Linked DNA regions of Saccharomyces cerevisiae S288C. Changing the gene in region 3 together with the main gene of any one other region gives a genetic interaction. Each region holds a gene or a part of one and is shown on either strand. Other genes may lie near its edges. The genes, in order: BZZ1, INP52 and RBD2.

Region 1 (5,624 bases), on a different chromosome or scaffold from region 3:
ATTGAACAAGTCTTGGAAATTAAAGGCCAATGCATTTAATAAAGAAGCCTTGAGCCGAATAAAAAATCTACAGAAACTAACTACTGGTTTAGAACAAGAAGACTGTTCCATTTGTCTAAACAAAATAAAACCTTGCCAAGCCATTTTTATATCACCATGTGCCCATAGTTGGCATTTTCATTGTGTAAGAAGATTGGTTATTATGAATTATCCTCAATTCATGTGTCCGAACTGTAGGACAAACTGTGATTTGGAGACTACCTTGGAATCCGAATCTGAATCCGAATTCGAAAACGAGGACGAAGATGAGCCAGACATTGAAATGGATATAGACATGGAAATAAATAACAATTTAGGTGTTCGCCTAGTAGATTGATCACATGAAATTTTGTGCTATATATATATATATATATATATATATATATAACATAGAGTCGTCATACCTCTCAAAAAAGTGGCGGCCAGGGAAAATATTTAATAGTTTCAGTTCATTCCTTCGTTCATTTACAGTAACTTGTAGGAAATAGACCTTTCAATCCGTCACATTCACCATATGTCCACCCGCTACCGTCATCGCCTCTGATAACAGTAATTATGTCCCCCGGATCAATTGAAATCTCATCATCTCCCTGTGCTTCGTAGGCATATATGGCCTCCATCGTCCTAACAGGTAGTGTACTCCTTCTTGGTGGTGGTACTTCTGGTGCAGGGCCTCTATCATTTGCTTTAACTGTAGCCGCGCTAGATATGCGAATATATGTGGTGGGTACAAGGCCGGTTTCCCCAGTGGTGTCGTTATTTATCTTAGTCCATCCAGAACCCGTATCGCGTGCAACCAAAGAGATTTTGTCTCCTGGCGTAATGGTGATTTCGTCATCATCCTTTTGTACGTATGCATACAACACTTTATTCTTGCCGTCATCACTGGAATTTTGTGTGGTCTTTTTTGTATTGTTGGTACTAGTGGTGCGTATAGAATTATTATCTGAATCTTCACCAGCGTTGTTAGGGGCAGAGCCTAGCCTAGTTCTTCTTGATGTGTTGAAGAGACTTGTTATATGCAAGGGTCCTCCGTTGCCATTACCAGTGCTCCCTCCACTCGAAGGCTTCGAGTCGACGTTCAGGATGTTGTGTTTGAACTTACTGAATATCCCGGATTTCTTCTTTGTTTTGGAAAGATCAATATTGTCTGTGGATAAATCGTATTCTTCAGGAACATTATTCTGAATACTTTCGATTTGAACTTCGGCTTGCAATTTTAATGTTTCGTGTGAGGTAAAGGGTGAAACGACATTTAAGTATTCCTTTAGTGTATCATAAAACTTAGTGGCATTGATATTATCTTCATTAGTTTTCATTTCGTGCTTTATCTTGTTCAAAGTAGACAGTTTGGATAACTCATTTTGAGTTTTATCTTGCAATGAATTGTAATCATTTTCTGCTTTTGCCAGTTTTATTCTCAAGTCTTCAACTTCCAACGACGAGGGAACAGCAAATTTTTCATCATCATGCCATACTGGAGATGGCTTATAGACAAAGTCTTGTGGTTCTTTCCAATTCTTTAGATTGTGCTTGATAAAGATGGCCGTGTTTAAAGAGGGTTTATTCTGCTTGACAACAGAATTTGCCGCCTGGAGTCTTTTGCTGACATTTGCACCCAGATCGTTCTCGACAGAAGCCGCCTTCAACCACAGATCATTTAAGAAAAGGGTCTTTGCCTCATTTACGTCTTGTAGAAGATCTAGCACTTCAGGAACATCTTGAAAATAGTATTTATCCTTAGTTCTATTTGCCTGGTTGATCTTGATTAAATATTCATTTTTACACTTGTTCATCTCCATTTCTTTTTCATCCAACTTCTTTTTATTTCTATCATTAGATGCCTTGGTATACCTATTTCTTGCCATTTCCATAGTGGAACAGGCTTCATCATAGTCCTTCTTCGCTTTTTCCAGTTCGTGGTAAATGTTATCCTTTTTATTAACCATGTCATTGTTAAATCCATTTATCTTGCTCAAAGTCATATCAAGTTTAGTGAATAATCCACTCAATTGATTTGCTACATGATTTTCAAAGTCGGTTGATAACTGATCATGATCCTTGGAAATCATATCAGTCTGAGATAGAATTTCATTCCATGCAACCACACCTGCAGCTTCAATGGACCCTGGCGTGGTAGTAGGTGTGTCACCTACCGAGATAGGAACTGAGGTCGAAGACTTCTTATTAAAGTACTCTGCTGATAAGCGAGATAATCTCTCGCTGTAGTCTTTTTCTAACTTAGCCCTTTCCCGATAAAATTGCTCAATGTCCTTCAACCATTTTAAGTTATTTTGGACCCATTTATGGGTTTCCTTAAATGAATCTTTAATTTCATTACCAATCGATAAATCTGCACTCATTTTTATTGCAAGTAATGTAGTAGTTGGCGTTTAAGGATAGATTTCCGCTCATACAAAATTGATCAATCTGCTACCTTCTTCAAAAACTATTTGCGTACAAACTAAATCTGTCTATTCCTTTGCTAAGCGTATATTCTTTTAAAAACTTTTTATTTTTCTGAAGACCCCGCGAAAGCTTATGTAGATCACAAGATATTATATATATTTACTATTTGTAAAATACAAAAGAGGGCAATAAATATACCGGATTATGAATCATCTAACAATTGCAGTTTAGACAACAATTTCAGATTCTATGGAAGTGTAGCGTTCAAAAAATTCCTTAAATAACTTGATTTGGAACTCCAGGTCTGCAGAGCCACCGGTCTCTCTAATCGAATGCATACTCAACACAGGATTACCCAAGTCTAGAGTTCTAATACCTGTCTTTGAGGCCAAAATGGGGCCGATGGTAGAACCGCATGGTGAGTCGTTAGCTACGACAAACAATTGCAAAGGGACTTTAGCAGCCTCTGCTAGTCTTTTCACCAAGACCAACCCTGGTGAATTGGTCATGTAACGTTGATTCGCGTTAATCTTGATTACGGGACCACCACCCAATAAGGGTTTGTGTTGGCTTTCGTATTTGTTTGCATAGTTTGGATGAACTGCATGAGCAACATCAGATGAAAGGAAAAACGACTTAGCGGAAGTTTCCAATATTGCCGAGTGAAACAAAGGTTTAGTTTGATCAGAACCGTCCCCCTTCAGGATGGACAACCTTTCCAATATATTAGGCAAGAAGTTAGAATCTGCCCCTTGGGCGGAGGATGAGCCAATCTCCTCATGATCAAAGCATGCCATCAATCTAATGCCTGATTCTCGGTCAATTTCTGTGTCAGCCGCCAACGTTAAACCGTGCATTGATGTGAAACAAGATGTCAAATTATCCAATCGACCAGAGAAGACAAACTCATCGTTGAACCCACCTAGAGTGGATGCATTATGATCATAAAGGATCAATTCGAAGTCTTCAATGTCTTCAATTGTATCAATGGCGAGTTCTTTGGCTATTAGCCCCAAAAGTTCTGCGTGATGCCTCTGTACTATCGTTTTTATGGAGGTAAACTCACCGTTATTAATTTCCTTTTCAGTTTTCGCTTCAGTTTTGTCTTCTTGCAGACCACCAATCGGCAACAGTTGAGTTTCTCTATTAAACTCGAATTTTTGATTTACGTCTCTGTCCAGATGAATAGCCAAAGTAGGAATCTTTAACAGAGGTCTATTCAAATCCACCAATCTAGCAATGGATTTGCCAGTTTTCGCATCCTTTACGAAAACTCTTCCGGCAACGCCCAAATCCTTATCAAACCATGAATGCCAAATAGCGCCACCATAAGTTTCCACGCCCACTTGTAAATACTTCTCACTGACTCTTTTAGAAATAGGCTTAATCCTTAATGCGGGGGAGTCGGTGTGAGCACCCGTAATGGCAATTGGATTACCAGGCTCCCACTTTCCACCAACAGCAAACGCAATAATGGAAGAGCCATTTCTTGTCACAAAGTACTTTCCTTTTTGTGCGACGTGGCCAGCCCACGAGTCACGTTCGCTCAACTCTTTGAAGCCATTTGACACCAGATGCTTTTTGATGTTATGAACTGTATGGTAAGGAGAGTGTGAGCTATTTAAGAAACTGACAAACTCCTTTGGGTAATCACTCTTGCATGTTTTGCTGGACATAGTTCTCAGTTGTATCCTGAACATAGAAAAGCTGAACCTTTTATTCTTTCTTTTTACCTACTTGCTCACATAACATGAATTTTTTCTTTCATTCATACAGGAGGAAAACGCCCTTTTTTCTTTCATTTAAGAGCGTGGAGATATCTGCAACTTTTCAGCAAGTATGATAAGGCTAAAATGATAAGGAATAGAAAACCGTAGCCAGAAACTAGTATCTCGAAAGCCAAGGCAGGCTTCTGTTGCAAAAATAAGCAGACCTTAAACTAAAGGAGTTTACTCCTTGGCGGAACACTGAATCACATTATATACGTAAGTTGAACGGGACTATTTATCACGTGTGATTATGTGGTCTCCATGTCAGTCGCAATATTTACAGTATATATAAGGGAAAGAGGGCCAGTTGTAATAATTGTAGTACGTGAAATAACTGTTTCTGAAGTCCTTCACATACGCTTTGGTACGGGATTAACCACTTACTGATAGACCTCAAGGATATCTTGTGAGTTCTTGTCAAATGGTGAAACTGTGGTTTCTATTTTTTTGCGGTGTTTAATTCAGAGTGCGATCACTTGATGGGTTTATGCAACACGCGATATATAAGCATATTGCGCAACAATAGATCGTTGCAATCCCTCCATCTCTTCAAATGTTGTAGTACATGCTATAAAGGAAAGATTGCACGAAAAGAGTACGTAAGATGGTGGACTTGTCAACAGCTTTGATTCATGGCGATGATAAAGATAACAGGGTTACTGACGTGGCGCCCCCAATTAATGTCTCTACAACCTTCCGTTACGACGATGACGACCTAATTCCATGGACAGAGCGTGAAAACTTGGACTTTATGGAGAAGAAGCCCGTATATTCACGGCTAGCGCATCCAAATAGCACCAGATTAGAGAGTATCTTCTCAGAGATCCTCGATGGTTATGCTGTCATTTATTCTTCAGGGTTAGCTGCGTTCTATGCGGCAATGGTACATTACAACCCTAAGAAGATCTTTATCGGACAGAGCTACCATGGTGTTCGAGCAATTGCTAACATATTGACCCGTAATTACGGCATTGAGCAACACCCCTTGGAAGATATTGAAAAATGTGCTTCTGAAGGTGACATTGTCCATCTGGAATCTCCTGTAAACCCATATGGTACCTCTTCTGATATCGAGAGTTTGGCCCGCAGAGCTCATGCAAAAGGCGCCCTGCTTATAGTGGATTCCACATTCGCATCTCCTCCATTGCAATACGCATGGAATTTCGGAGCCGATATTGTCCTATACTCTGCTACTAAGTACTTTGGTGGTCATTCTGACTTGTTAAGTGGCGTCCTTGTAGTCAAAGAGGAAGCAACTTCCCGACAACTAAAAGACGACAGAATCTACTTGGGTACAAACGTGGCAAATTTGGAAAGTTTCATGTTGTTGCGATCCCTGAGAACCTACGAAATGAGAATAACCAAACAATCAGAAAATGCTACGAAATTAGTTAGATTTTTGTCAGA
Region 2 (12,754 bases), on a different chromosome or scaffold from region 3:
GACTTCATCCTTATGCTAATCCTGTACCGAATTCCGACAATGGAAATGAGCAGAATACAACAGACCATAATAGTAAAGATGCAGAAGTTAGTTCTGTGTATTTTGATGAAATTGTATTCAATGAGCCAAATGAAGAGTTTTTCAAAATTTTAATGAGCCGACCAGGAAATTTGTTACCTTCAAACAAAACTGATGATTGTGTATACTCCAAGCAATTAGAACAGGAAGAAATTGACAGAATAGAGATCGGCATAGAAAAGGTTGACAAGGAAATTGACGAATTGAAGCAGAAACTGGAAAACTTGGTAAAACAAGAAGCCATTAACGGAAGTTAGGATCACTGCACCCGGAACAACGGTATTTTCATAACAGCCATAGTAATACAGATCATGGTTTGAAAGGTCGGCGCTCACAAAACCGAAATGTGTGCAGAGTCATATAAACATCTAAACAACAGTTATGATACATATTCTATAAATGCGTAATTTTAGTAACACAATTTAATTGGGGTCGCAAGGCTTCAATGGATGAACGCTTAGCTTCTCTAGTTCAGGGTTCTTCGCAGGAACTTTTGGTTTAGACTTTTTCTTGCAAGGGAGTTCCTCTTCAGATTTTGAATTCGACGGGGAAACTTTTATTGAGTGTTCTTGAGAGGTGTTAAGCTTGTTAGCAGCAACACTTAAATAATGCGGTTTTTTGACAACTGGTGGCTTCTCAGGTTTTGTGGAGGCCTTTGCTGGCTCAGGATCTTCTGTAGTGGACACACCTGAATTTTTGGTAGATGTAGAGATTTCGTCCGGGGCAGTACTGCTCTTCCTTCTAATAGGAGGACAAGGTCGAGGAACAATTTTCCCATTATCTATGGTCTCTTTAGCATGCTGTAATTCTGAAGAACTTTTCTGTAAAGAGACTGGCTTAGATAAAGATAAAGCGGGCACTGGCGGCAGTGGTTTGGGTGTACTGTGTCTCTCTAAGGCAGGAAGATTGCTCTCACCTTTACGCGGCGATACGCTGACAATGGAAATCTCTTTGGTAGGGGAAAGAAGTTTAGAAGATGGTTCCTTATTGTGCCTCGAGGTAGGAGGAGGCGGAGGAAGCACATTGAGCTTACTTTTATCGGGTGATACGTTACTGAGTCCTCCAGGGCCAACAACAGACGGTTGGGGACTGGGACCAGAAAGTAGAGGCGAAACGCACGAGGAAGTATCATCTAGGTCAATTAGTTTTATGCCCGCTGATTGAACGGTTGCATCTAAGGGTATACTTTCCTTTTGTTTTTCCATTCTTGCATGAGAAAGTTCGTCAGGACCTGTAGTTAGTGCTTCGGGATGCGTATTCTTATATTCTGCATACAGCTTCTCAACTAGGTTAAGCTTCTCTTTTTCGTCAACAAATTTCACATTTGCCCTATATGCAGCATAAACTGGTTTATGATCGCTTATTTTTAAAGGTGCGTCCGAATATGCCAATGGATGCAGGTTTTCACCTTTATATATGATTCTATCAGTCCAAGACGGAGTTCTCGCCTTTTCAGAAGTATCATAATTATCTGTGCCATAATCATATTTATAGGTCGGACGGAATTGGAGGGTCGGTTCTTTAAAGCCCTGAAATACCACTCCTTCATTTATTTCTTGAGTCAACTGATCATATTGAAGCAATCTATCAATATAGCCATCCTTTTGAGCCCTTAATTCTCTTCTAACTTCATCATTTGTCAAAGTTATCCTGTAGTTAAGGTCACCCAACCAAAACAACGAATCATGGTGTGGAATTGTCTTTGATCTTGGAAAGGTTATGTTCCTGTAGATATTGTTGTAGTCATTGCGACGTTCGTCAATGTTACTCGCACCTGCTGATAAATGTGTATTAACGAAACAGAATGAAGTTGCCCCATAATCGAATCTAATGGCTACTGCACCTTTGTTTCCAGTAATACCACCAAACCCAGTCTTTTTGGTAGACCCACCTACCTCTTTTATGTTATAGGCTCTATCTGATCTTGCAAAAAATAGTATCAAAAGAGAGGACATCTGTTCCACTCTAAGTAAAAGATATTTTTCTTCGTATTGATTCAAACAGTCAGTAACCATAGTTTCCCAAAAAGAACTTTTCGTATAATCTGCATTCAAGATAGACCCTGCGGTCAACTCTATAACTTCCTGCAACCCTAACACAACGACATCAGGTTTGAATTTATCGCCGATTGGAAATAACCATTTTGACAAATCTGCTCTTCGAGAGTTTCCGTTAACATTGAATGTACCGACAAACAAATTTATGTTAGAATGAGTGGTGAATTTTTCCTCTGACTCTAACAGCCTTTCATTGACGTATTCGCAGATTGGATCATAAAGTTCAACAACTTGCTGGTGCGGTAGTTTGCCCAAAAGTGTGTCAATATTTTGCTGTTTTCCTTTATCTACAAAATTGTTGATGTACATTCTACTAACGGACTTCGTCGCATCAGAAAGGGCGCCAGAAAAAGACATTTTACCTTTCCTTGAATAGGACGATTTCAGAGCATTTGTCCCAGTGTAAATTTGTGATATCTGATCTCCGTTGTCGGCCCATAAAGCATTCACCTTTTGCACAAATTCATTATCGTCGATGAAACTACTGGGTTTTACCAATCGGAAGTCTTCCAAAAATAGTTTGAAAACGGCCAGTGAAATCGTCTGTTGGATCAAATTTGTTCTATCTAAACAATCCAAGCAATTGGTTCTAAAGACACCGTCTTGTTCGGATATTAATCGCCCTTCTTTTACATCGTATGAAAAGTAACCGGCGTCCAAAATTGTGTTTCTTATTTTAGGGATAATCCTACTTGCAGCTGCAAACCCATCTTGCGAAGTTTCTCTATGGAAATCAAAGCTTGTTAGGAACACATCTCTACCGATTTTCATTTTCTCAGAATTTTTCAACTGTTCCTTGTATCGCCTCGATAATTGAATTTCTGAAGATTTAGTAGACAGCAGGTTGATTATATGAACTGGCCCATACTTCTTAAATAGTCTTATAAAATGTTCATCAAACGTGGGCTGTGTTGCTTCAACAGATCTGGTAATTTGAATCTTTGGACTAATCAAAGATGTATCCTGCTCCCAAAAAATTGGAAGGCTTCCTCTTATCTGCGTGAAAGCATAACAATACTGAGAAGAGTACATAATCATTTCTGTTTCAACAAAATTTGCGACATGGCCATCATCATCTATACCACGTGCATTAAACCTTGTGCCTGCTCTTTTCCAACTTTGCCTGGAAATAATGGTAAGTCCTACTTTCAACCTATTAATATAGCTAAAAATTGTTTCAGCAAACCCTCGGATTACGGTCGTGAGGAATCCTCGTTGATCCAATAGTTCTTTGGCCGTTACATCTAGTCTGTCTCTGTATGTGATGATTTCGTCCATAAGAAACGAGTTCCACATAAACTCCCGGTCAAAATCATCAAAACTCAAAGAGTGTTCCGTGAATCCACGTTTCTGCAATGTACAAGTTAAATCAAAATCGGTGCTGTAATAAAAAGATCCATTTGATAATAGCTTTCTTAGTTCATGACATGGATGCTTGGGAGCTTGTTCTTGAGCATTCAAACTCCTAGAGGAAGAAGAACGTAGCGATGATCTAGAAGAATGTGTGGAAATACTAGGAGGCGAGCTTATTGCAAAATCTCCATCATTAGTAACAATCGGATAACCGGATGAATCGATGTCCATGAAATCCCATTTAGAATTATTTAAGCAAAAAAAATCCACAGCATATATTTTGTTAACCGTTTTGTTTGGGATCGGCTGGGCCACCTTAGATTTACCTGTTATGGTTGCTATGAACATAAGGCCTTCAATTTCTATGAGACCAATAAAACCGTATATTTCATGGTTAGATAGTCTTCTGAAACCATTACCATTTAATTCAGCTTTCGGAACCAATTCCACGGCACATGTAGATCTGCGAGAGTTCTTACTGTTTATTGGCCTAAATACCAGTCCATGTGTTTCTGAAACTATTGCTATCTTTCTAGTTTGCTGTTTCGATAGGAGTATTTTCATAGCTACTGAGTATTTGTTTTTGATTCTGCTGCCTTTGCGTGGCCTTTGTCACCAATTCTGCGAACAAAAATATGTTGAGACTATATGAAGCGAGTACTTATTGTCCTTTATGCCTAGTTTTCCAGTTAAATCTCTCTTAATAACTCCAGGTTTGTTTCAATTTCGTCACTAACCGCCAAACAAGTTTCGGGTCACCCCACACGTATTTGGTTCAAGAATATACTAAAAAAAGAAAAACAAGCACTAGCCCTAGATATGGAAAAAAAGATATTAAAACGTAATTCTAATTTAGACATCCGTGCTTCTAGTAATTATATGGTTAAAAAAAAAGGAAAGGAAGTAAATAAATAAGTATAGAAATAAATAGAAGCGAATAAGTCCTGAAATACAGAAAAGTTCTTATGCAGAGCCAGATGCCGCAGCATTCTTACCTTCGACCTCGGCCAAAGATGGAATGGACACATCACCAGAATGGATAATATTGTTAATGGTGGCAAAGATGGCTCTCACTGAAGAATCACCGACATCTTCGGAGACACCTACACCCCATTTGTAGGCCTTTTCGTTGTCGGCATTACGCCTATACGATAGATGGATGTAAGAAGCAGCTTGCGTAGAAGAACCAGAACCTAGAGAATGCTCTGTGTAGTTTGCTACGGCAAATCTCACGTTCAACAAGTTTGATAGGGCGTCGACCAAAGAAGAGATTGGACCATTACCTGTACCTTCAATATCGACGATCTGGTCGCCTACTTTGACTTGACCAGTGAACACTCTACGTTCAGTGCCGAATTTTTCAACATTATAATTGACTAAACTAATAGCTTGGTACTGTTCGTCATTGTAGTTGTAAGCCTCTTTGAATAACTTGGAAATCTCATCTGATTTTAGTTCTCTACCCAAGGAGTCAGCATGGTCTTGAACGGCGCTAGAAAATTCGATTTGCATGTTTCTTGGTAGATCCAAACCCAAAGATCTCAAAATAACCCAAGCGGCACCACCTTTACCAGACTGAGAGTTGACTCTGATGACAGCTTCGTAATCACGGCCAATGTCCTTTGGATCCAATGGCAAGTATGGGATTCTCCATTGAGTTTCACCTTGAGCACGCTTCTTGTTTTGTAAGTTGAAACCCTTCTTAATGGCGTCTTGGTGAGAACCGGAAAAGGCACAAACGACCAAGTCACCGCCGTATGGTGCTCTTTGCGATACTGGGATCTTATTACAACGCTCAACCACATCTAGGACAGAGGTCAAGTCAGAGAAATCCAAATTAGGAGAAACACCTTGGGTATACATATTCATAGCAACAGTAACCAAGTCCACATTACCTGTACGTTCACCATTACCAAAGAGACATCCTTCTACACGGTCGGCACCTGCAAGCATACCTAACTCTGTGGCGGCGACACCGCAACCACGGTCATTGTGACAATGTGTAGAGATGCAAACCTTCTCACGCTCAGTAATATGGGTAGCGAAGTATTCAATCTGATCAGCATAAACATTTGGAGAGGCAACTTCTACGGTAGCAGGTAAGTTGAAAATGATTGGATTTTCCTCGGTAGGTTCCCAAGCCTTCTTAACAGCTTCGCAAATTTCTACAGCAAATTCACCTGGAGTATCACTGAAACATTCGGGGGAAAACTCATAGGACCAACGAGTGGCTTGTTGGGAAGGGTCATCCTTAGTTAGTTTCCTAACTAGTTTGGTGGCCTCTACTGCCTTGGAAATAGCTTCCTCTCTAGACATATTAAAAACAATTTCACGGAACATATCACTTGTTGCCAAGTAAGTATGTATAGTAGCCTTTTTAGCACCTGTTAATGCTTCCACCGTTCTCTTAATCAAGTGTTCTCTAGATTGGACAAGACATTGAATACTAACATCGTCTGGGGCGTTTTCTACAGCATATCTAGTGAAGTCGAAATCTGTTTGAGATGCAGAGGGGAAGGAAACCTCGATTTCTTTGAACCCAATATTGACCAGCTTGTGAAAGTATTCTTTCTTTTGTTCCACTGACATGGGATCCGGCAGAGATTGGTTACCATCTCTCAAATCTGTTGATAACCAACGAGGAGCCCTCGTGATCCGGTTATCCGGCCACTTTCTATTAGATAGCTTTGGAGCGTTAAATGGCTTGTACTTGGAGGAAGGGTCCTTAAGCATATTTTTATAGGCTAGCTTCACTGGAGGAATAACTCTTGAGGCTCTGGAGGCCGCATGCTCAGCAAGAGCAATAATACTCTCTTTAACCATGATTGTTCCTTGTCTTTTTGTAAGGAAAAAGTCTACAGTAAACTTCTAGTGTGAGAATCCTTTTTTTTCTTCAAAAAATACCCTTTGAAAGAACTGAGTCACTTACACGTAAGTTTCTTTTTACTGGTCAAGTTGAAAAATAACCAATAAATGATTATGGAAAGAACGTTGAAAGAGGAGAGAGGCTGACCCAAGAGGAGAAAACATCGAACCTACGCGACTCCATAGCGCACATCTCCCATGCGCCCGTGCTTATATATATATAAATATACATACACACATACATGCACGCACATACATGCACGCGCATGACAGTGACTGGCCGTTACTGTACAATTTTTTCAGCCAAGTATGACACACATTCAACTCAGCTTTTCTGAGGCCTTCTTTCTTTTCCTGCGCGTCGGTAGAGCGATGACTAACCTACTACTGTCTCAGAGCCGGTCCCGCTCCGGTAGCAATCCTGGGGCTGGTCATAACAGCCGAGTGGAAGTGTCAAAGCGGAGAACAGAAGCATAAGCTCAATCGCTGGACATACGGATGCTTATATACGTCTTATTGTCGTTGAAAAATATCGAATTTTTTACTTCATTTATCGAGGCTTCTTCGAGCACTTTTCCGCTATGGCTTTTTCCCCGTTTCCTTTTAATCACGTGCGCGGGTAGCACCCGGCACACAGCTGGTGTCTCGTCGCACATGCTATTGTGTGTCATCGGGCCACACAAGCATATTGCTTGAATTTTCTTTCATCGTTCAACTTAAATCCACCCAATCTAGATGTAGCCGTAGCATGTAATAACGTATATCCTTGTTTACATGCATCTGTGCCAGGTGAAACGGTCTGTTTGAACGCACATCATTTCATATATTAGTCAACTCCTGAAGGTCTTCTTGCCTGTCCGTCAACTGTTTAGACAGACTCTCGTCAATAAAGCGCACTTCTGATAAGCACTTTTATTCCTTTTTTTCCACTGTGAACGATGAAGCAGGAGCAGTCCCACGAAGGCGACTCATACAGCACGGAATTCATAAATCTCTTTGGCAAAGATACCGCAACACACCCTAGCAGCAACAACGGTGCTAATAATAATGGCATGGGGAGCACGAACTCGTTGGACCAGTTTGTGGCAACAGCCTCATCGTCATCTTCTCTGGTGACCAGCAGCGAGAATAGGCGCCCCCTAATAGGTGACGTTACCAATAGGGGCAACACTAACCTATATGACCACGCTGTCACGCCAGAAATACTCTTAGAACAGTTGGCCTACGTGGATAACTTCATACCATCTCTGGATAACGAGTTCTCTAATGTGGATTGGAATGTGAATACCACCCATAATAATGCAAACAATAATGGCGCGGACACTTTCAGCAGCATAAATGCAAATCCTTTTGACTTGGATGAACAACTAGCCATTGAGTTGAGTGCGTTTGCCGACGATTCTTTCATCTTCCCAGACGAGGATAAGCCGAGCAATAACAATAACAACAGCAATAATGGTAATGACGACCATAGCAACCACGACGTATTGCATGAGGACCCTTCTACCAATAATAGACAAAGAAATCCTCACTTCTTGACTCAAAGAAGGAATACTTTCCTAACTTCCCAATACGACCAATCAAAGTCTCGATTTTCGTCCAAAAACAAAAGAAATGGCAATAACGGCGAAACAAACAACTTTGGCGACAATATGCAAAATAACCATCCTTTTGAGCCAAACTTTATGGGAAGCCCTTCTCAGTTTCCCGCTGACGCAACTAATATGACATCAATCGACCATGGCGGCTTCACAAATGTTGACATTACATCAACTGAGAACAATACTACCGGTGACAATGGAGTGGATGCGCTATCAAATCTACTACATAGGACAACACACACACCGAACCGCTCCTCCCCCCTAAGCAATGTCACTTCTGCTCAAAATTCCTCTTCACAACAACGAAAACATTCGGAAAGCAAAGTCGATAGTAACAGCGATAATAACAGCTCCAACAAAGCCCCCAATATAACTGTTCCTGACTATTCAATTATACCAACCTCTGTTTTAGTAACTCTATTACCGAGGGTCAACGTGCCCAACGGCGCATATAACTCGTTGATCAGCGCGGGATTTGACAATGATCAAATAGATGCTATAGCCGCAATAATGGCGTATCATCATCAAAAAAAGATTAGGGAAAATAACAGTAATAATAATAAAAACATCAACACCAATGACAGTCAAGAGGCACCCATTCTAAAAAACATCAACGAACTTTTAAGTGTCTTAATACCACCCTCTCCGGCTGAAACTGCTGCGCCAACTACCTTATCAACGTCGCCTTCGTTCAATGAGCACGGTGTAGTAGCAGAGGCTTCTTTTCTAAGCTCCATTTTGGAACTGGGCATAAAGCATCCAAAAAGTAATAATATTCACAATCAACGACAACCTTCACGAAACGATCATAAAATATCAAGAGAGAGTGACGGTAACAATGGAAACGATAATGTCCATCATAATAACGCTGTTATTAAGTCAAGTACGACGCGTGGAGACGAAATTGCCAAGATACGATCCGAGCCAACTTTAAATGCAAGTTCTTCTGATCACAAGGAAAATAGTTTAAAAAGATCACACTCCGGAGATTTGAAAAATAAAAAAGTACCCGTCGACCGCAAGTATTCTGATAATGAAGACGATGAATATGACGATGCAGATTTACACGGCTTTGAAAAGAAGCAACTGATCAAGAAAGAGTTAGGGGACGACGATGAAGATTTATTGATACAGTCGAAAAAATCTCATCAAAAAAAAAAACTAAAGGAAAAGGAGTTAGAATCATCGATACATGAACTGACCGAAATTGCAGCATCCTTACAAAAACGGATACATACGTTAGAAACGGAAAACAAGCTTTTAAAGAATTTAGTTCTGAGTAGCGGTGAAACGGAAGGAATAAAAAAAGCTGAAAGCTTAAAGAAGCAAATTTTTGAGAAGGTTCAGAAAGAATAAAATAACAGACTATACAGTTTAATTATATATATATATATATATACGTGCATTTTTCTTAAAGAAATATAACTTTTTTCTTGTACTGCCTGCAATCTCTATTCTTCATTCATCACACATCTATTCAAACGCGTTAAAATTTTTTTGTTAGCCTATAAGTAAAACGCGTCGCGTGTATCCAATTTTACTGAATTAAATTCTTTACTCATTGGATGATATATATCTTCTTGGTCTAGACAACGAACACATACCAATTCAGACTCACGAGAAAAAAAACTGTCTTCACTCTGCTATTAGAAACCAAATAGTATCAAGGCATAAAATAAACAGTGGAAAATGTCTTCTAAAAGTGAAAAATTAGAAAAATTGAGAAAGCTGCAAGCCGCTCGAAATGGTACATCCATCGATGATTACGAAGGTGACGAATCAGATGGTGACAGAATATACGACGAAATCGACGAAAAAGAATACAGGGCCAGAAAGCGCCAGGAATTGCTGCATGACGATTTTGTTGTAGATGACGATGGTGTAGGCTACGTCGATCGTGGTGTCGAAGAAGATTGGAGGGAAGTTGATAACAGTTCAAGTGATGAAGACACTGGAAACCTTGCTAGCAAGGATTCTAAAAGGAAGAAGAATATAAAAAGGGAGAAAGACCACCAGATTACAGATATGCTGCGAACTCAACATTCCAAATCAACACTGCTAGCACATGCAAAAAAATCCCAAAAAAAAAGTATCCCCATCGATAATTTTGATGACATTCTTGGTGAGTTTGAATCTGGTGAAGTAGAAAAACCCAATATTTTACTGCCATCCAAATTAAGGGAAAATTTAAATTCTTCGCCGACTAGTGAATTTAAATCGTCAATAAAGAGAGTTAACGGAAACGATGAGTCAAGTCATGATGCCGGTATTTCTAAAAAAGTCAAGATTGATCCAGATTCAAGTACTGATAAATATTTAGAAATCGAATCATCACCGTTAAAATTACAAAGCAGGAAACTGCGCTACGCAAATGATGTACAGGATTTATTGGATGATGTGGAAAATTCCCCAGTAGTAGCCACAAAGAGACAGAATGTACTTCAAGATACGTTACTAGCAAATCCACCATCCGCTCAAAGTTTGGCTGATGAAGAAGATGATGAAGATAGTGATGAAGATATTATTCTGAAAAGAAGAACTATGAGAAGTGTGACAACAACTAGACGCGTGAATATAGACTCAAGAAGTAACCCTTCAACTTCACCGTTTGTCACAGCACCCGGAACGCCAATCGGTATTAAAGGACTAACTCCAAGTAAATCTTTGCAGAGCAACACCGATGTTGCTACACTTGCGGTTAATGTCAAAAAGGAAGATGTGGTAGATCCGGAAACTGATACTTTCCAAATGTTTTGGTTGGATTACTGTGAAGTGAACAACACTTTGATTTTATTTGGTAAGGTTAAACTAAAGGATGATAATTGTGTGTCAGCCATGGTTCAAATCAACGGTCTCTGTAGAGAGCTATTTTTCCTTCCAAGAGAGGGTAAAACACCTACCGATATACACGAGGAAATAATTCCGTTACTGATGGATAAATATGGACTGGATAATATCCGCGCTAAACCTCAAAAAATGAAATATTCGTTTGAGCTTCCTGACATTCCATCTGAAAGTGATTATTTGAAAGTCTTACTTCCATACCAAACACCGAAGTCCAGTCGAGACACCATTCCATCGGATTTATCTAGCGATACCTTTTATCATGTTTTTGGTGGGAATTCCAATATTTTTGAAAGTTTTGTTATTCAAAATAGGATTATGGGACCATGCTGGTTAGATATAAAGGGAGCAGATTTCAATTCAATTCGTAATGCTTCTCACTGTGCGGTTGAAGTTTCGGTAGATAAGCCTCAGAATATCACGCCTACTACAACAAAGACAATGCCTAATCTGAGATGTCTATCTTTATCGATTCAGACGTTAATGAATCCCAAGGAAAATAAGCAAGAGATTGTTTCGATAACGTTATCAGCATATAGAAATATCTCGTTGGATTCACCGATACCTGAAAATATAAAACCAGACGACTTGTGTACTTTAGTAAGGCCGCCTCAGTCAACTAGTTTCCCATTAGGTTTAGCTGCACTGGCAAAACAGAAACTACCCGGTAGAGTCAGGTTGTTCAACAACGAAAAGGCCATGCTATCTTGTTTTTGTGCTATGTTAAAAGTGGAAGACCCAGATGTTATCATAGGCCATCGTTTGCAAAATGTCTACTTAGATGTTTTAGCTCATAGAATGCATGATCTCAACATTCCAACGTTCAGCTCTATTGGCCGTCGTTTAAGAAGGACTTGGCCTGAAAAATTCGGTAGAGGAAATTCGAATATGAACCATTTTTTTATTAGTGACATTTGCTCTGGTAGGCTGATATGTGATATCGCCAATGAAATGGGTCAATCATTAACACCCAAATGTCAAAGTTGGGATCTTTCAGAGATGTATCAAGTTACATGTGAAAAGGAGCATAAGCCGTTAGATATTGATTATCAAAATCCACAATACCAAAATGATGTAAATAGTATGACAATGGCCCTACAAGAGAATATTACTAATTGTATGATTTCTGCTGAGGTGTCTTATAGAATTCAATTATTAACCTTGACTAAACAGTTGACAAATTTGGCTGGTAATGCATGGGCCCAAACGCTAGGCGGTACAAGAGCTGGTAGAAATGAGTATATCTTACTACATGAATTTTCAAGAAATGGTTTTATTGTTCCTGACAAAGAAGGCAATAGAAGTAGAGCTCAGAAACAAAGACAAAATGAAGAAAATGCTGATGCACCAGTTAATTCTAAAAAGGCAAAATATCAGGGTGGTTTAGTTTTTGAACCTGAGAAAGGTCTTCATAAGAATTACGTTTTAGTCATGGACTTTAATTCTTTGTATCCATCTATTATCCAGGAATTTAATATATGTTTTACCACCGTTGATAGAAATAAGGAAGATATCGATGAGTTACCAAGCGTACCTCCTTCAGAGGTGGATCAGGGTGTTTTACCAAGGTTATTAGCTAATCTGGTGGATCGTCGACGTGAAGTTAAGAAGGTGATGAAAACTGAAACTGATCCCCATAAGCGAGTTCAATGTGATATTCGTCAACAAGCTCTAAAATTGACTGCCAATTCTATGTATGGTTGTTTGGGTTATGTTAACAGTAGATTTTACGCAAAGCCGCTCGCCATGTTAGTCACTAATAAGGGTCGTGAGATTTTAATGAATACAAGACAACTAGCTGAAAGTATGAATCTTCTTGTAGTTTATGGTGATACAGATTCGGTCATGATAGATACCGGTTGTGATAATTATGCGGATGCAATTAAAATTGGCTTGGGATTTAAAAGGCTAGTAAATGAGCGCTATAGATTATTGGAGATTGATATTGATAATGTT
Region 3 (9,323 bases):
CTTTTGCTGTTACCGCCATTGGTAGTGTTGCCAGACATTCCAAAGGGAGATGGGCCTCTACCTTGATCTTGTGCCGCCGAGGAAGGCCCATTAGTACCACTCAAGTAATTGTTCTTGTTATATGGCTGCCGCTGCGATGAGCCAAACGATATTGAGCTCCTTTTATTGCCATTGTGAAAGGGATCCATTTGAAGGGCGTGTATTTGCTCCTATAATTCCTTTCCTTCTTGTTGTCTGTTGACCCTTTAGGTTGTATGCCACTCTCGAAAACCTAAAGAACTGATTACTAAATTATTTATACAAGATTTCAGATGACAAGATGGTTCACCCCTTGCCCCTGGTCTTCCTCCCAGTAATTATTCATATTCCATTTTTTTTCATAAACGCACGCTAAGGAAAAAGAAGAGACTGAAAATTCTTGCATATTAGAATATAAAATGATATATACTACATTTATATACATCCTTAAACTGTGAAAGAAAGAATAGCGATACAAATGTCTAGGCAGTCCCTAGGACAGTGCCGGAGTTGTCATTGTGGAGAGGCAATGGTGTTTCTGTGGACATTAACGGTTCGTAATCTTTAGTTCTGTCGATATCCTCATCTCTGTAATACTTAATTCCCCAAGGTATTAATCGAATTAAACCGTCTAAACTTTTTTCGATTTTGGTGATGATCCATCCTGGTGGAGTGATCTTGTTAAACCACGATTCCTTGTAGCCTATGGCGTAACCGACACATAAGCCGAAAAAATGACCCCAGAAACTGGAGCCAGGTATAACGACGGCAATTGCGACTAATAGTACTAGGGGTGTATATAATGTCGGAATTGAGTAGTCTGTGCGAAAGATCCTTGTTCTAGGGCGGATCTGTGATTCTTTAAAACTATAGTATGCGAATAAGGTGAAACACCACCCACTGGCGCCTGCAACTAATGCTTCTGGATATAGCAACTTACCCAACAAACAGTACAGAATTCCGGCAAATAGAGCACTCAGGTTCAAAAAAACACCTGTGTACACAGTCCCATGCGTTTCTTCGAAGAGATTCAAGGGTGCCCAGATGGCTAGCACATTGAACAGTAAATGAGGCAATGATAGGTGAATTAAAGGATAAAGCGATAGCCTGCTCATTTGCAGTTTGAACAATGACTCTGGCGCCAACGACAGGTCTTCCCTTAGGGCAAAAATAAAACTTAACAGGTAAATAGCGGTTAGAAATACCACAAGGCCTGTGGTCAACGCAGCTGGTGGATGACCACCGGGAAAAACGTACGACTTCCAATTCATAGCACGACCAAATAGCACAACCTAACAACCAGAGTGAATTGCTGTTCTCAGTGCTTCCAATTAAGCCTTTCCCATCCCCCTATTCTTCTTGTATCGATGCAGTTCAAAAAAAAAAAAAAAAAGAGGCTTTAGATCTCAAAGGGCCGAAAAAAGTGAAAAATTTTCTCGAGAAATCATAAAAGCAGCCATCGCCATATATAAACAATCTATGCATATGTATGCAGCATGGCATCGCATCTTTCTTGGCGACCCGGTAGTAGCATTTAACTTCCATTAGAACCATATAAAATGCATGGGCCTACTTCAAAAGCTATTTCCCGCAATGTGAGAAGCGTGAAGAGACCAAGAAGAGCACCTAGGCCCGTGGTCTCCACGCAGGCTATGAACAAGTTGTCTAACGTAACACTCTCTGCTGAACAAGAAAAGTTGAGAGAGCGCGTTTTGTCGTTCATGCGTTCCAACTTATCTCAGTACAAGTCTGACTGGAAACATCCGGCCATGTTTGTAATCCAAGGGGACGCAGGTACAGGCAAGTCTGTGATTCTAAACTCCTTGTTCAATGAAATTCAGAAACTATCCCAGTTCTCACCTTCTTCTGAAGATATCTTACATGGGACACATAATTATCTGGTAGTCAACCATCCCGAGATGTTAAAGTTATATATCCGGATTAGTGACAGTTTCAAATATATTTCTAAATCGTCACTAGAACGGCCCACTTCGTTGATCAACAATCTACAGAAGAGAAAAGTCATGGCCGATGTAGTCATTGTAGATGAAGCACATTTGTTGGCCACTTCTAAGGATGCTTTCAAAAGATTTTATGGCGAAAACCATCTCAAAGACTTAATGTCCCTTTGTAAAGTGCTTGTATTGGTTTACGATGATAAGCAAGCTTTAAGAATGGGTTCCTATTGGGATGAAGGTTCTAATAACGGTGCCACTTTAAAGGACTTTTACAACGAGATTCCACCAAAATCCAGAGACTGGTACACTTTAAAACAGCAGTTTAGGGTTGCTGCCCCACAAAACGTGTTGAACTGGATTGACCAAATTAGTGTCGCAGGTAAAATCCCACCAATTGAATCTGTGCTATCTAAGGGCAATGCAGATTGTGCTGACGATAAAATTAAGAATTTTGATTTCAAAATTTGGGATGATTGTGGCGCCATGTACGAGGCAATCAAGGAGAAAGACCGTCAATACGGCCAATGTAGGATGCTATCTACTTACGATTTTCCCTATCGCTTGGACGGAAAAGACTATTACGTTGAATGTGGTGACAATTTCAAAGTTCGCTGGGATCGCTATACTCCACGTGAAGTGACGCCTTGGAGTGAGCGTTGCGACACGATTGATGAGGTAGGTAGTGTGTATACTATCCAAGGGTTTGATCTGAATTATGCTGGTGTAATTTTGGGCCGTTCCATTGGGTATGATGCGGCTAATGACTGCATCAAACTAAGACCAGAGCTGTATGACGATAGGGCCGGTTTCACCAAAAAGAAAAACATTCACAATGCAGAGGACGTTAAGCAAAAGATTATTATGAATAGCATTAATGTCCTCTTAACTCGTGGCGTGCGTGGTCTGTATGTTTATGCATACGATCCTGAATTAAGAGAGAGACTGCTTCGTCCATCAAAAAAATAGGAAGTACATAGTATAGACAAATTTTATAAATATTAACTTTTATTTGTTGCGATCTTCACTAATCTACGCAGATTTTGCCTTCGGTATATTAGCCTTCTTCTTGTTGAGTGCTTCCCAAGTGATTCCACCAAATACTATAAACATCCCCACCCATTGCTGGAAACGTACACTCTTACCGAAGACAATAATACTCAAAATCATCGAGACCATTTTCCTGGTGACTGTTATCATGATCAAAACTAAAGAGCCAAATTGTTCTAGAGTATAGAAAATAAAGCATTGTCCCATAGCGCCACAGAACGAATAAAGCATTAAATAGCCCCACACTTGTGGGTCCATCGTCAATACAGAAACGGCATTATCCCATTGTTTGCAGTCGATCACAATAAAATACAAAATATTCCACAATATCACGAAGAGGTTCAGTGTAAACATCAAGTGTGCACCTGTTATCAAAGTTTGTTTTCCCTTTTCTTTGGCCTTATTGGCCTTTAGTAGCTTATCTTGGGTGGCGTTGGTCAATCCATCAAGGAATAAACTAGAGAAAAGTAGTCCAAACCCTTGTAATTTGTTATCATTTCCGCTCTCATTAAAGGATCTCTTCAACTTTTTACCATCGTTGCCACCTATAGTGAAAATAGTGACACCGAGACTTACCAAGAGAGCTACAACTTTTTTTTGGCTTGCTATGGGCGTCCTATACAAAAGCAAATGCACCAACAACACGGGGATCATCTTGCATGACTTTGCTAACATGTAAGTGAGATAATCCACGTGCTTTAAAGAAGTTGTAGCCAGCGGGCCTGAACTACTCTGTGTAAATGATATCAACATCAATTGTTTCCAATGATCTTTAATCATTTTTCTGGGCGGATATTCCACCTTCTTCCAGTTTAAGTACAGGTAGCCCATCATCATTGCCACAGAAGCTTGTATGAGGGATATTACATTAGGGAATTGAAACTTTCCCATGGAGTTTGGCCAGGTTCTTGTAGCCAAAGGCTCCTGTACTAATGCCCACGTCAAAAAAGTAGCATATATACCAATCGCACAGATCACCAAACTGGATGTACTTCCCGCCATACAAATATACGAATACTGCCTTGTTTACTTCTTCTTGTTACGTTGTAATTCTGGTTCTAATTACATTGCTGTCATTTTTTCATGTTCGATGGGATCTACAAAACAACCTTTAGAAGCGATCTCAGGGAAGCTTTGGAAGAGAAACAGCTGATGATTCTGGCATTCCACAAACTACAACAACGAACCAAACGACATATTCCATTGCAGTGATTTGATTGGGAGTAAGCTTTTATAAACGAGCAGACCAATATGATTTACGTAGTATTTCGTTGTCTTTACCACATCGTTGTTCGTGATAAGTTCTGAAAATTTTTTTTGGAGTATATTTGCTAGAGTTAATCCAACAATATTAGCATAAACGAGCAGCTGGAGACTAGGTTATTTGAATTATTTGAGCATCAAAGTGATCAATTGTATTATATTACAGTGTAATTTTCTTTTTTTCCATATTGAATCAAAAACTAGCCACGCTTGAAACTAAAGATGGTTGCCTATTCTCCAATCATTGCCACCTATGGTAATCGTGCAGAACAGTTTTTAGAAACAGACTCAGACTTCGCTAAGTATCATGCGAAATTGAATAAAAAGTTGCAACACTTGAGGAGCCGTTGCCATTTGGTCACCAAGGATACAAAGAAATACTCAAGTAAAAATAAGTATGGCGAAATTAACTCCGAGGATTATGATAATAAAACTAAATTGATTGGTGTTTTGATTTTACTACACGCTGAAAGGGACTTGGCACTGGCTGAAACTTTGAAATTGAGAGCTCGTCAAAGAGGAAAGTTAAAGAAAAGTGAAGAAAAGGTTTTATCCACAAGATTGAAGAAGGCCTGCAAGACTGCTGATAAATTGGTTAACGTCACTCAAAATGAACAGCAATGGATAACTCGTGCCCAATATTTAGCGTTCGCTAAATTGGTACATTCAGAGTACCTAATTAATGGAAAAAGGTTCAAGAGGAAGGACAATGCCAAAATTTCGAACAACCTAGCCCTCGTTTTCGCCGCATTGGAACACTTGAAGAATCTAAGCTTATTAGCTGAAGAAGTTGTAGATAACATTGTTAATAAATACCAGTACTCTCTCAAGCAGTACGCGGGAAATTTAATTACAACGCCCGAAATAAATAACTTTATCGTGGAAAGAGTTCAATCTGATGAGAACAAGGACGATGAGCTTGTGAAATTGTTATTAGACAATGGATTCAATATGAAAAAAATTACAACCTCAACTGAAGATCAAAAGGTTACCACTAACATAAACTGGAGATCTTTCAACGCCAAGATAATCGATGCTGAAGTTGCTCAATTTTTGGAACAAGGTCTATCTATCCACCCAACTCAGATTACTCAATATACACAGAGGCTATCAAAATTGGAGAAAGCTTTAGACCGTCATGAATTTTTCATCGCAAACCACGACGATCAAGATGACATAGACGAGATGGTTGAAAATAGTTCTGAAAACAATCAGATAATTTTAGCCTACATTAAATATAATATTCTTTTGACCTCTATATCTCGTGAAAGAGATTTGTTTACTCATTTATGGAATCAATGGCTGAAATTAAATACTTCATTACCATCGAAGTTAACCAAATATAAAGAAATGGAACGTATTGTGAAGAATTTGACAAAATATTTATCGGACATAATGGAGCTACCTGGTGTGTATTCAGATGACGAGCTGCTAAGCCAATTAGACTTATGCAAGCTGTATTTCCAGTTATTTCTGAATACGGGCTGCCTGAGTGTTTTATATCAGTCGAAAGGCAGATATATGGAGGCGTTAGCTCTATATGTGGACGCTTACCGAAGATTAGAAAACAAATTATCTGAAATTGAATCTCTAGACGAAATCTTACTTCCAGCAAATCTTTTGTCATTGAATTCTGTCCGAAGCTTACAAAAGAGAATCGAAAACGGTGGTAATAGTGTCATTACTTTGGCGGAATACGAAAAAAGAAATCATGGTGGCAGCTTAGGGAAATATGATTTGACAGTGATTGAAAAATTGGATAGTAAAAAAATACTGCCAACGGACATACAATTGAAAAATTTATTCCCTCTCAAGCCAAAAATGCTGCCCATTCCTAGTAAACCAACACTTTTTGATTTGGCCTTCAACTACATAACATATGATAAGCAAGAGCCCTCAGCTTCTCAAGTGAAAGATTCAGTCACAGAAACCGAGAGCATCTCTCAAACACCAATTTCTAATGAGCAGACGGAAGGAGAGCCTAAAAAGAAGCGTGGTTTCTTGGGCCTATTTGGTCGTTAATATTTTTCTAGTATGACTGTATTTATAGTACTATATAGATTATTCCATTTAAACAAATGATGATTGCCAACTATAGTAGCCAAATAACGAAGTGCATTACTTAACACATCTTATTTTTATCTACTGAAGATATCGCCAAATTACAGCACATGCTAAAAAGAAGATGTTTAGGGTCCTTTACATAACTATACGTTAAATTATTTTTGCTGCTGAAAATAAGGAAAATAAAAACAAAGATAAAAATAGAAAGAATGGGAAAATTTAGTAACAGCTTTTGCCCAATATGCTCAAAACCGAGTTATCTATTACAAAGCGTTCCTTTTATAGAAAAAACTGACAATCAAATGTAGTAATTGGCTATTGTTAACAACAACGTTGGAATGGAATAATTTCCACGTCTCGATTTTTGGTTCAACTTGAGTCTTTATCAAGTCTTTAAATGAGAAAGAATCGACATCATCCGAGTATCGTTTATCGGGCCCTTTTCTTTTGTCAATCATTTGAATACCGAATCTAGAACCATCCGATGTGGAAATTTTGAATATTATATCTGGGAATTTAGGACCGCTCGAACCAAAGACTTTTACAGTCAGTTCAGCTAGTTTTTCACCCCTGATGGTTTTAAGCACTCCTCTTTCATACAACTGCTTTGTGTTCCATTTAAACTTCATTCCCTGCAATTCAGAACGTTCTCTTCCTTGAACTTTTTTTACTGCATTCTTAAAATTTCCAAATTTACTTTTGTGCACCGGCGAAAAATCCTTGGCTTTCTGGAAGTCTTTTATCGTATGATCAACATGTTTTTTAAGCCTTGATAATTCTATATCTAAGCTGTGGTTCATTTCCGAAATTTTTGTGAGTGTTTCCTTTGTGATGTAAATTTCCTGGGTTACATAATCAATGGCATAGTTGGGATTTTTAATAGTGTTCGCAATATCGTTTAAGAAATTTTGTAACTTATTATCAGAAGAGCAAAAAGTCCCCGTACTTTCTAGTTCATGTATTTTTTTCAAAGTAACATTTTTGAGTGTGAAGTATTTCAATGGTTTCAGCTTCTGTATCATTGGATCATCCCTGATTTTAGGATTTTGCTCCAGAAAATTTGCAAAATTTGGTTCATCTTGAGGTAGAATTGTACTAATTGAAAGGTCATACAAATTGGTATCTACATCCTCAATTTGCATCATGTACACAAATGCCCTTTTAACTTGGTCGTAGATTTTTCTCATCTTGTCATCACTAACGAGGAATCGATATGCAGATGCATCCAATTCCAAGGTAACACGTCCTGATCTTGGAAAGGATGAATTGTCCAAGTTCTTTTCCAAAATATCATGCAAAATATCTGCTTCCGGAAATTCATTTAAATACTCTTCAAATTTACCACTGATTTCCAGAACCTTTTCAGTTAACAATTCCAATTTGGGGCTTGGCGATACCATATCCAAATAAATCAATCTATCTCCCTCTTGTTCATACTCTGGATCTACTAACACATTATAAAGGACATCTTTGATATGAGGCTTTATTTCGTTAGCGTACTGGTTCAATGGATCCAAAAAGCCATCAAAATTTTTGATTTCAAAAACAGTCGCCAAGGATTTCATTAGAATGTCAATTTTTTGGTTATTTTTTTGAACGTTGCTGTCTTTGTATCCGTAATATTCCCGGTTGACCAAATATTCAGACACAAAAACGTTCACTAGAATACTTGATATGGCCCTTAAAGAGTCAATCTCCTCAATATTCTTATCTGCCGCGTAGCAGAAGATTTTAGTGCAGAGGTACCTGATTTCAACGGGAATAGTGTGAACCTTTCTGGTATAAATTTCAGCGACCATTTCAATCGCGTGCCATAGGCACCTTAAATTGTCAATGAACTTATTCTTGGTACTCGCATCATCCACAGGCGAACAATGCTGAGGAGAGCTAAAGCCGTGTATTTCTTGATAAATTTTGTATGGATCACTTTCAAAATCCACTACTGGATCTGACAAGTAATCCAAAACTGGGACTATTATAGAGAAGAATTCTGGAGACTCTCTTCTCAAAAAATCTTGAAGAATGGTTTGCCAAAATTGTGATCGGTTGTCAAGAAAGCTTTCAATACTCGGTGCTTCATTAATCGCATTTTGTAACATTTCACAAACAAACCTTGTGAAATAGGATCTCTCTCTGTCGTTCATCCTTTGATTCACTGTTCCAAATGTCATATAAACATTCTTTGCAACAAATTCTGGCTCTTTCAAATACAGCAATTTCCAATAAGAGGGATCAACTTGCAACATATAGAACAGTTTTTCATACTTTTGATATTTAGACTTCGGAATCGTAGAATCGGAAATACCGAGTTCATGATCTTTATCTTTTAATAGTCCAAACTTATCCAATACTCCGTTAATATTTAGTTGTTGTCTTATGCTCTTCAGTAATCGTTCCTTCTTCATATTTTCGGAATCAAGAGAGGCTTGGCAACTCTCCAACTGGTTTTGGACCTCTTCAATGGTTGCTGTTCCATTGAGCAAATGAACGAATTTTTTGACAGCCCAAAGACTTGGATTTGGACAGTCTAGAAGTTCCAAATATGCCGATCTTTGCAGACTTTTCCTAATCCAGCTTTGAATCATAATAACCGACCTTACGTTTCTCTTGTAAAAACTCGACTTTTGGTCCAAGCTTTCACGTACTAAAGCGCCTCTAGAAAATGCTTGAAATAATGCTAAATTATTATACTCCACAATGTCATCGACTAAGTCTAATGTGTAGCGGACTAGAATACCTCTAACCAAACCCTGGAGGTCGTGCACAGTTTCACTGAGATTATTTTCGGGCGCAAACAGTGACTGTACCTTATGTCTTACAGCGTTTCCGCGTATACAGGCTGATAATTGAATAATATTACAGTTTTCTTTTCCAAGTGAATATATTATTGATGCTAGGCACGAACGCGTAAATATTCCTCTAATCAAGCTTTGCAATTTTGAGATATTTTCCTTATGTACATCATGTACAGCA

Evidence for each region.
Region 1: of RBD2 (region 3) and BZZ1, changing one suppresses a phenotype caused by changing the other (phenotypic suppression), as found in Saccharomyces cerevisiae (one study listed by BioGRID).
Region 2: of RBD2 (region 3) and INP52, changing one suppresses a phenotype caused by changing the other (phenotypic suppression), as found in Saccharomyces cerevisiae (one study listed by BioGRID).

What each region holds. Positions count from the first base shown.
Region 1 is NC_001140.6:334,861-340,484, reverse strand, and holds BZZ1 (Bzz1p), read right to left. Parts: upstream 2,403-5,624; coding exon 501-2,402; downstream 1-500. Other genes in the region: ubiquitin-conjugating protein DMA1, read left to right, coding at 1-376; APE4 (aspartyl aminopeptidase), read right to left, coding at 2,676-4,148; YHR112C (putative cystathionine beta-lyase), read left to right, coding at 4,822-5,624. UniProt on the Saccharomyces cerevisiae protein: Plays a role in endocytosis and trafficking to the vacuole. Functions with type I myosins to restore polarity of the actin cytoskeleton after NaCl stress.
Region 2 is NC_001146.8:420,444-433,197, forward strand, and holds INP52 (phosphatidylinositol-3-/phosphoinositide 5-phosphatase INP52), read right to left. Parts: upstream 4,053-12,754; coding exon 501-4,052; downstream 1-500. Other genes in the region: YEATS domain-containing protein YAF9, read left to right, coding at 1-335; 2-isopropylmalate synthase LEU4, read right to left, coding at 4,452-6,311; MET4 (Met4p), read left to right, coding at 7,292-9,310; DNA-directed DNA polymerase alpha catalytic subunit POL1, read left to right, coding at 9,644-12,754. UniProt on the Saccharomyces cerevisiae protein: Dephosphorylates a number of phosphatidylinositols (PIs) like phosphatidylinositol 4,5-bisphosphate (PtdIns(4,5)P2), but also phosphatidylinositol 3-phosphate (PtdIns(3)P), phosphatidylinositol 4-phosphate (PtdIns(4)P), and phosphatidylinositol 3,5-bisphosphate (PtdIns(3,5)P2).
Region 3 is NC_001148.4:84,009-93,331, forward strand, and holds RBD2 (putative rhomboid protease RBD2), read right to left. Parts: upstream 1,290-9,323; coding exon 501-1,289; downstream 1-500. Other genes in the region: YPL247C (uncharacterized protein), read right to left, coding at 1-188; YPL245W (uncharacterized protein), read left to right, coding at 1,578-2,942; UDP-galactose transporter HUT1, read right to left, coding at 3,006-4,025; signal recognition particle subunit SRP68, read left to right, coding at 4,509-6,308; IQG1 (Iqg1p), read right to left, coding at 6,614-9,323. UniProt on the Saccharomyces cerevisiae protein: Probable rhomboid-type serine protease that catalyzes intramembrane proteolysis.